Linked DNA regions of Sus scrofa. The protein of the gene in region 1 interacts with the protein of each later gene in a pairwise test. Links are inferred from orthologs where the notes say so. Each region holds a gene or a part of one and is shown in the gene's direction. Other genes may lie near its edges.

Region 1 (4,611 bases):
TTATGGTATTTTGGACTGAAACACTGGGGGACACTGCTGCGCCTGTCAGGCAGCTCTTTTCCGTAATGCTGTTAATTCCTTCTAGACGGTGGGTTCCAGAGGGAGTTTGCCAAAGTGCTCCCTCTACTCTTGGGCCCAGATGCCTTCAGGACACAGTCAACTGCCCTCAGAGTATGGAGGCCACTGACCATTCAGAGTCCTGCTTTTGTGCCCTGGGATTTTCATCTAAATCTACCAGGAGAGCATCAAGAAGTAAGGCAGATCTGAGTCTGTCCACATGCAAGAAACGTACAGAGGCTTGTGTGAATGATGGAGAAATTCGCTAAGGAGAGAAGGGTCCTAGGAGTGACCTGTGGAGACATCTCATAGGCTCGAACCAAGGACCAGCTAACCAACACGAGAGATGGCGGAAGGAAACAGGAACTCAGGAAAAGCAGGCGTGAGAGGGAGACTGGTACCAAGAGGGTCTGCACAGTAGACAGAGGGACACTTAAAACATCCCTAGACCACGTCCTTTCTCTTTAAAGCCCACCAAGGACTCCATCCCACCTAGGAATAAAACCCAAAGCCCCGAGGTCCTATAGGATCCAGCCTCCACCATGCTCCTTCCCGCTCTTTCTCTCTGTGCTCCACCTCAGAGCTCCGACACATACTGCTCCCTCTTTCTGGAACACTTCTGCCCAGATCGTCCATAGCTGCACCCCCCACACACACACACATCCCCCAATCCAGTCTCTGCTCCACTGTTACCTCTGAGACGCCTTCCCTGATCCGTCAGGCAGATAAAAGCTCCCACACATTAGAGCAGGAAGTGGAATCCTAGTGCCCCCAGCTTCCCACACCAGGGACCCCCTCCTCTCAGTCTTCTCTCAGTGGAATCTGGGTCTCCCCACTTTTCCCTTATCCATAGGGATGAACCTGGTCACCACACGGAGCACCCCAATCCCTCGTCCCCGTGTTTAAAAACCTTTCCCTGAAAACCATTGGGGAGTTCAGGTCTTTTGAGCAGTAACTACCTGGACTCCTTGCTTGGCACCTGCAATAAATACTGCACGTCCCTTCACCATAACCTCATGTCAGTAGATTCACTTTACTGCACTGGGGCCAGTGGACCCCAGTTTGGTTTGGTAACGGGACCAGCACGGGCCAGGTTCTCATCTTTCCTCTGCTACCCCATCCTCAACCAAGCTAGAGAGGAAGACGCAGGTGCGATCAAAGAGTCCCAACAGCACTTTGAGTCTGTTTTGTGGCCGTGGGACCCGCATTTGGTTCATTCATTTTTATTCTTCTATTCATCAATTCACGCATGCTTCATTGATAGATACGACTTCTATTGAGGGGCCGCACAAGCTCGGGGCATCCCGAGCCTGCCGCGAACCCAAGATTCTCAAGTAAGTGCTTTAACTGCGACAAGAATTAGAAGCGAAAATGCACCGTGAGAACAGCTCATAGAGGATGGGTGGGGTCCCTCGCCACAAAGCTGGCCCAGCTCGGAGGGACAGCCCGGGGACGCGCAGAAAGCCGCGCCCTCTCTCCTTCCGCTCCTGCGGGGGCGGCTGCAGGCCGCGGGCCCTTTGCCCGCCCCCTACACGTCCAGCCAGTCCGCTCACCCATGTACTTCCGCTTCCGGCCGTTGGGGGCGGGGCTTCCGGCCGTCGGGCGGGGCTTCTGGCCGCCGTGGGCGGGCCGGGCCCGGAAGCAGCGGCGGCAGTGGAGGTGCGGGGACCGCGGGGTCGGCCATGGCTGTGAACCTGAGCCGGAATGGGCCGGCGCTGCAGGACGCCTACATGCGAGTGGTCGACGAGAAGTCCCCGACCGACTGGTGGGTTGCGAGACGGCCGGAGGCGGGCCGGGGGCAGGGGAGCCAGGGGGCGCGGAGTCTTGTCCGCCCCGTACCTGCGCCGCATCCGGGGCGCTGCGGCCCCCAGCCTCGTCACCCCTTGCCCCACCGTGCGTGGGCAAGTTAAACCCGGCGTGGGAACCCCGTGAGTCCCCAGCCCGTACCCTCTGCTAGCCACCAGTCTCGGTTCCGCGGGCCTCGTTGAATTCTGTGCTCGATGGCCTCGCCAGGTTCTTCTCTCGTGCCCGGGGACTTCCCTGGACAAAGGGGCCCTTCACAGCCCTCCCTGAGAAAGCGGAAGCCACGCCTGGCTTCTTCCAAACGCTGTGTTCGGGGATGGGCCCCTCAGAGTGGTCTGGAAGCCCGACCAGGAATGGGCGCCTTGCTCTGGAGGGTCAAACAGGGAGGTCGAGGGAACTAGGTGCTATGTTATTTGTGAACGTGTATTTCAGAACCTCCCTTTCCCCAAAAATACTGCAATGCTTGAGCCATGGGGGGGTGAATGAAAGGACACTGCTGGCCATAAAGGTCCCGTCTCCCTCCACCTCCTAATGACATCCTTTGCTAGGCTGGCAGTGTTAGGGACTTTGTAGAACTGGAAGCCTGGACCTGAAGTCCCTGGGACAGCCCTGGGCAGCCCACACATAGGGTAAGCTCTTTGTCCTGCAAGTAGGGTCCTTCTATGCTTGAGGATTCTGTTATTTCCCCATCTGCTTCTTGTTTTCGCTGGCCACCTTTGAGCACTAGGAAATATGCTGAGTAGGATGGACTAAGGTGACCAGCTCTGGGGAGCCTTTTTCCCATTGCCTGGGGAAGGGCCTTCTGGGCGTGGCTGTGCTACCATGACTCTCTCCACTTGTCAAGTGCTGCTACTTTCTTGGCTTCCCCTGGTGCCCAGCATAGGGTGGCTTTCGGACAGTGTACTTCTGTGACACTAAGAACGTTGTAGCCTTGCCTGTTCTTAACCCCCAGGCCTTGGGAAAGAACTTCAGAACACCAGCTGTCTGGGTCAGCAGACTCTCTGGGGCCACATCAGTGTGGGCAGGTCCCATTCACGAGCTGAAGAAATAGACCGTGGCACTTCCCTGTGTAAACTCTGCAGCGGCTTCCTCTTGCATCATAAATAAAGCCCCATGGCTGACAGGCCCTGCATGGCCTGGCTCCCCAACCCCCTCCTATTTATCACACTCTGGTCACACCAGTTTACCACCACTCTCGCCTCCTTTCTCCTCCTTAAACCCGCAAACTCATGTCTGCTCAGAGCCCTTGGACTTGCTGCGCCCTCTGCCTGGGGCTCCCCAGACTTCACTTCTCAGCTCTCATGTTACCTTCTTCTCAGAGAGGCCTGTTCGTGTTGTTTTGTTTCCTCACGTACACAGCACATAGAAGTTCCCAGGCCAGGGATCGAACCCGTGCCACAGCAGCGACCTGCTTCAATGACAGCGCTGAACCCTTAACCTGCTCTGCCACAAGAAAACCTTGCAAAGAGGCCTTTCTCGATTCCTGGTTCCCTGGCTACAGTCAGATTTTCCCATCTCCCTGTTTGACTCCTCCAGGCAGATGCCAGACAGCCTCACGGATTTTCTTGTCACCTTTCTTCCCCTCAGAAATGGTGGGGTGGGCCCCTTTTCTGTCTCCAGGGCAGGGCTGTTTATGTATAGTAGATGCGATGCTCAGATGGACTGAGGGGGTACAGGGAGAGTGGTAGAGGATATCAGAGCTAGAAGAGGTGCCCCCAGCATGGAAGGTCATTGTCATGTGCAGGCGGGGGCCTTGGGCCAGGCCGTGAAGCCAGGGGGAATGGGAGCAGCCACAGCAGCCCTTCTCCACGCTGGGTCTCTCTCCCGGTTCCCCAGGCGGTTCTTCCCCTGGCCTGTGGCATGTTTGCTCACTTCCTGCACCCACTTCACTACCTGACAGTATCTTAGTGTTGATGTCTGTGTTTCTTTTTTCTCCCTTTAGAAAGTATATTCCATGGACAGGGCCTCCTAGGGGTTATCCACGGCTGCATTTTCCCATCACCGGCGGGAAGCAGGTTCTTAGTGTGCATTTTTGGAAAGTGACGGAAATATAAGGAGCTCAGCAGCCCATGCTCCTTGTGCCGTATGCCTTCACAAGCCAGCATATTTTTTTTTTTTTTTCCATGTTGGTTTGAAAGAAGAGCAGAATTTGGTTGACTGTGGGCTGAGCCTCTGAACTGGGAATAATCAAGAAGGTGGCTTAAGCTGGAGCTCAGTGGAGGGGAATGAAGTCAGAGGCGTGGTGGGCAGCATGGAGCTTGGCTTGTTAGCTGCTGGAACCCTTGTTGGAAGAGCTGAGCTGAGCAGCTGTCTCTGTTCCTGCTACCTGTCCATTGTCCTCGTCTTCTGCAGTCAAGGTCTTGTGCCTTCAAGAGGAGCGGGCTTCTTTCTTCCAGGAGGAAGGCTGGCCAGGACTCCAGCCCGCCAGAGTCTGGACATCTACCACCTCCCAAGTCATTTCCTGTTTTCTTTCTTTTCTTTTTTTTTCATGGCCACGTCTGCAGGGTGTGGAAGTTCTGGGCCAGGGGTGGAATCTGAGACATGGCTGCAACCTACACCACAGCTGCGGCATCGCCAAAACCTTTAAACTACTGTGCCGAGCTAGGGATTAAACCCAGGCCTCTTCAGTGACCTGCACTGCTGCAGTCGGATTCCTAACCCCCTGCATCACAGTGGGAGCCTCATGTTTTCCCGAGTGTTTCCCCCTCGTTCGCTCTCCTCTCCTGGGAAGCAGTGGTTCTTTCCTGGCAG
Region 2 (4,747 bases), on another chromosome or scaffold:
GCCCCAACCCCAGATCTGCTCTGCTGACCTGTCCCGGCTGGTCCCTGTCCCGGGGGCTCCTAACCTGCTGTTTTATCTCAACCGTCATCATCCATTTCCAGGTGAGATAACTAAGGCTCAGAGAGGCTCAGTCAGTATCCTGAGGCCCACAGCTGGCAAAGGGCAGAGGTGGGCTGGGTGCCAGGCTGGGTCTGACTAGTGGGTCTGCCCGTTCTGGGCAGCTGTGAAGGAGAAGGGGACAAGCCCCCACGTGACCTCCCCTTTGTCCATCTCCTTGGTCAGCTTTCAGCCACGGGGTTGGGGGGCACTGAGGTTGTCGCGGGCTGGGGAGGCCAGGGTCACTGGACCCACCTTGAGGAGAGCTTGGGCACAAAAGCCTGAACTCCCCGGGTTCCAGGGCACAGCGGGTGGCCTGAGACCCGGGCTGCCCCCAGGTGGCGTGGGGGCCTTGGCAGAAGCCTGGAGCTGTGTACTCTCTGGGAGATGGAGCCCCAGCCCCAGAATGCCTCCCTCAGTGCCCCGACACGCGTACGTGCGATGGCCAGGTGCTGGCACAGCTGGCTGTGGGGCTGTGCCCTGGGAAACCTGGTGGGCAGGGTGAGGCCTTTGCAACTCCCAAAGACCCTGTGGTCCACGGCCTCTGTCACCCTCACATCCTGCCGTGGCCCCAGAGCACTGCTTCCATCTTGGAGTGTTGTGACCTGGAGACCCAGGCTTGGGGAGAGGCAGGGGACCTGGGGCCTCAGCGCCAGAGCCTGGGCTTGAATCCCTGCTCCCTGCTTCCCGGCTGTGGAGCTGGGCAGGGGAGGAAGTGGGGCTTGGCGGGGCAGGGTAGGCCCAGGAGAGGGGCTGCATCCTGAGTGGAATGGGCCAGGGAGCAGGGAGTGATGGGGGCTGCTTTGCTACTCAGGCCAAAAGTGCTTTCTAGCAAGCCAGGTGTTTGCAGAGGCAGCAGACAGCCAGGTGTTTGCAGAGGCAGCAGAAAGTGGCGATCACCGGAGGCGTGTAAGCCCAGCCCGGTCACAGAGGCTGCGCCTGGCATGGGAGGCTGGTGGGGGGAGAGGGAGGGAAGGTGATGGGGAAATGCCTGGCGCAGGCTCGGAACTGGCCCCTTGGTCCCTTGGTATCAAGGGCTACCTTGAAACGCCAAAAGCTCCTGATGCAAGAGGCACAGCCCCTCTCTGTGGCCTCAGAAGGCGGAGTGGGTGGCTGTGTCCACGTTGGTGGCAGGAGCACGCCAGGGAGGTAGTGAGCTCCCTGTGTGGGGCACAAGCACTAGCTTCTTGTGGAGGTATCTCAGGGGCTGGGAAGCTGGGCTTCTGGGCCATCAGGTATTTGCTGGGAAGAAGCCAAGTACGCGGAGCTGGCCCTGGAGGGACTGCAGGGGCGCTTCCTCCCAGGGGACATGGCTGGCCTTGCCCCTGGGCCTGGAGAGCTGTGGTCTCTGGCCACAGTGGGCACGGCTAAAACCCAGCAGGCTAAACAGTGCTGACAGGGCACTGTACTGGGCCCCAACGGGCCTCAGGCCCTTGAAGGGTGGAAGGCAGGAAGTGCTGGCTACCGGGGGCTGCCCAGCAATCCAGCAACAGGAAGTCCTGGGCGGGGAGGAAGCCCTGGAGGCCGCAGGCCCCAGATGCAGCAGGCAGCTGCCAGCAGGAGGGATCGGCGGACGCAGCCAGCAGGCGGCATTCCGGGCAGTGCGGGGCATCGGGCCTCACCCGCCTGGAGGATGCGGGCTGAAGCCCCGCCCCATGGCCCCTGAGCCACATGGCCTTCCCGGGCCCCAGGACACCTGCCTCCAATCCAGTGCCAGGCAGGAAGAGAGCCATGTGCTGGGTCAGTGCCACCAGGTCAGTGGGCAGCCCTGGGGCTGGGGGTTCGGGAGGTGGTGTCAGCCCAGCACCCGTAGAACCGCTGAGGGAGGCTCCGCGTGGGAGCCAGGGCCCTCCTTGGGGCCGCGGTGGGCACCCGCAGGACGCTGGCCCCGGGCCCTTGAGAGGAGAGCCCTCAGGGATGGCCGGGGCAAACGGCGCCCAGAGAGACACCACTGCTGCCCCTGGGTCACGCGCCACTCAGCCAGCAGCTGGCAGGAGGGTGGGGCCTGGGTCGGGCGAGCCTTCCCACGGTACACCATGCCAGGGCAGCTTGGCCTTTGGGTTCTGTGTGCCTACATACTGCGTGATTGTGTGTGTGGTGTGAGTACGAGCATGTCCTGTGCCTGCAGGAGGGCAGAGCGAGCTGTGTGAGCCCCCCGGGAGTGCTGAGCTTGGGGGCCTGGTGGGGTGTCCAAGAGCCCCGGGGTCTCAGGGGCCCAGGTCGAGCCTCCCTCCCCTGGCACCGCTGGTCACGGGCCTTTGTAGGGATGTTTTGGTTTTCATTCTTTTATGGAGAAAGATTCTGGGAAGAGGAAGAAGGAGGAGAAACTGAAAGGGGAGCGAGAAGGAGCTGGGTGTCAGGCGCTGGGGCCCCGCGCCGCCTAGCGCCCGCTCTGGGCCAGGCGTGGGGGGCGCTCCATCATTGACTGGCTGTGTGACTTGACTTCTGAGTTCCTCAGCTTCTCTGACCCGTGGTGTCTTCATCAGTGACGTGGGGACGGTGCTGGCTCACTCTCAGGGGTGTTGTGGTGATGACGTGGGGTGACCTCTGAGAAGCACAGAGCCCGGCTCAGCCTCCTGGGCCGTGCGATGGGAGGGAAGCCTGGGGTGTGGCCAGCTGTCCGGTCAGACCTGGCGCTGGACCAGCGCGGGGCTGCGAGGCAGGGATGACGACCCGGACCTGGGCCCTGGCTGCCCGCCCAGGGCCCTGAGCCCGCCTGAGGGTCCTGTTAGCCCCTAGAGGTTGTGTGCGGGTGTGGATGTATGAGTGTGCGGGTGAGTACACATGCATGTTAGTGTGCGAGTGCACGTGTGGTTTACACAGGTGGGTGGGTGTGAACGTGTGCACTGGGGGACCTGGCCTCTTCTCCACTGGGGCTGGGACTCCCAGCCCCACCTCCCCTGCGGCTCTCACGAACAGGCCGGCCTGGTCACCACTGACAGGAACCCCCTGACACTGTGGTCACCCGAGGCGTCAGCTCCCTCACCACAGCTGGGGCTGAACCTGCAGGTGTCGTCCGCTCCCGGGCACAGGCTCACACGGGCACACAGGTGTGCGCACACACTGACGTGCACACACAGAGCCTTCTGCATTCAAGCTGTGCAGCTCATGCACATGTCCTATTTGGGGCGCCGTCAGTGACAATGACCGAGGGTGCAGACTACAGCTGCAGTGTGGCCCTGGGCTCACAGCCAGGCCGGAGGGGAGCTCAGCGGGGCTGTGGCTGTGTGACAGCGGTTTTCACCCTCCAGCTCTGTCCCCACCCGACAGCCTTAGGCCTTGGGTCCCACAGACCAGTCTCAACTCTGAGGGGAGGTGGGGGTGGGCACAGGAGCACAGCCGAGGCTCAGAGGTGCCTGCCTTCCCTAGTGGGTGTGCTGCTCACACGCAGGTACACACAATCGCATACCTCCTGGAAGGGCTCGCGCGGCCCGTCAGCCACCCTGACGCTGCCCTGTGCCTCCTGAGCCCTGCCCCCGGCGGCCCAAGCCTGGAACGTGAGTGCTGACCTGCTGCCGGCCCACTGGGTGGCCTCAGTCCCCTCCTGTGAGGGACAGATGTCCCCAGGGGAGGCCCCGTCACTGCTGCCGGACTGTGCCGGGCTGTGAGGATTGGGCTCTCCCAGGCCCCTTTTAACTGGAGGGAGGACAGGCCTGGCAGGACTGGAGCCCAGGGCTCTGGCACACTCCCTGCCAGCTCCCACCAGGGCTGCCCGGTGGGCACTGCCAGCAGCACAGGGAGGAGTCACCGTGGGGGTGTCTGCCCTGTGGCGGAGGGACGGAGGCTTCCTGCTGGTGAGGGGCCCCTGGGCCCTGAGGGAGAGAGCAGGGAGGCCAAGCTGGCCAGGAGCATGGGTGCCCCTTGGGGACTCCCCTGGACTTTCCTGGGCACCAGTGGCGTTGGAGCTGCGAACTGGGTGGAAATTCCCCCAGAGCTGTGTGGTCCGCATCAGCACGGCCCAGCGTCACCCTCGCCCTCAGCCACCACTTCCCCGTCCTGCTCCAGCTCGGCCTGGTTCTGGGCTCCGGGGAGGGTGCCAACCCAGCTCACCCAGAGGTGCAAGGCAAGGCTGGGGGGTTGCAGAGTGTTTGGGTATCAAGATGAGCTCCCACTTCGATGGCCCCTCTTCTGAGGCAGGGACATTCCCAGGGGAGGTGAGGGGGGAGCTCCAACCTGCCTTCCTCCGGCCACAGAGCACCTGCCTGGCCACTGAGCTGACCAGGTTTGGGGCCAGGAGGAGGCACCGGCGCCATGAGTCCTCTGTTCTGCCACCCCCCCTCCAGCACACCTGCCTGGAAAGGATGTGATATATGGGGGGCTGTTTCAGCTCCCTGTGCCTTCCAGGCAACTTGAGGTCCCTAACACCTAGCAGGGTCAACCTTCTGCATCCCCTTTGGAACTGCCTGGGCCCCCCCTCTGCTGGGCCTGAGCTGGTGATGGTAAAGAGAGTGACGCAGGACCAGCCAGAGGTCAGGGAGGACCACCTGAAAGAGGGGATCCTTGAGCGAACCCTTTCTTCATGTTGGGGTTGTTCGTTGCTGGCACAGAGAAATAGGATGGCTTTTTCTGTACTGATCTGGTGTCCTGCCACCTTGCCGAGCTCGTTTATTAGATCTGACCCTTATTTAGTGGATCCCTTAGAATTTTCTCC

What was found. The genes of interacting proteins can lie anywhere in the genome.
Region 2: the proteins of DBNL (region 1) and SH3BP2 interact in binary tests that used the Homo sapiens proteins (3 or more experiments, as listed by UniProt). The link is inferred for Sus scrofa from reciprocal best matches to the Homo sapiens genes DBNL and SH3BP2.

What each region holds. Positions count from the first base shown.
Region 1 is NC_010460.4:48,722,723-48,727,333, reverse strand, and holds the start of DBNL (drebrin-like protein), read left to right. Parts: upstream 1-1,660; 5' UTR 1,661-1,739; coding exon 1,740-1,822; intron 1,823-4,611. UniProt on the Homo sapiens protein: Adapter protein that binds F-actin and DNM1, and thereby plays a role in receptor-mediated endocytosis.
Region 2 is NC_010450.4:1,599,574-1,604,320, forward strand, and holds the start of SH3BP2 (SH3 domain-binding protein 2), read left to right. Parts: upstream 1-1,631; 5' UTR 1,632-1,767; coding exon 1,768-1,850; intron 1,851-4,747. UniProt on the Homo sapiens protein: Binds differentially to the SH3 domains of certain proteins of signal transduction pathways. Binds to phosphatidylinositols; linking the hemopoietic tyrosine kinase fes to the cytoplasmic membrane in a phosphorylation dependent mechanism.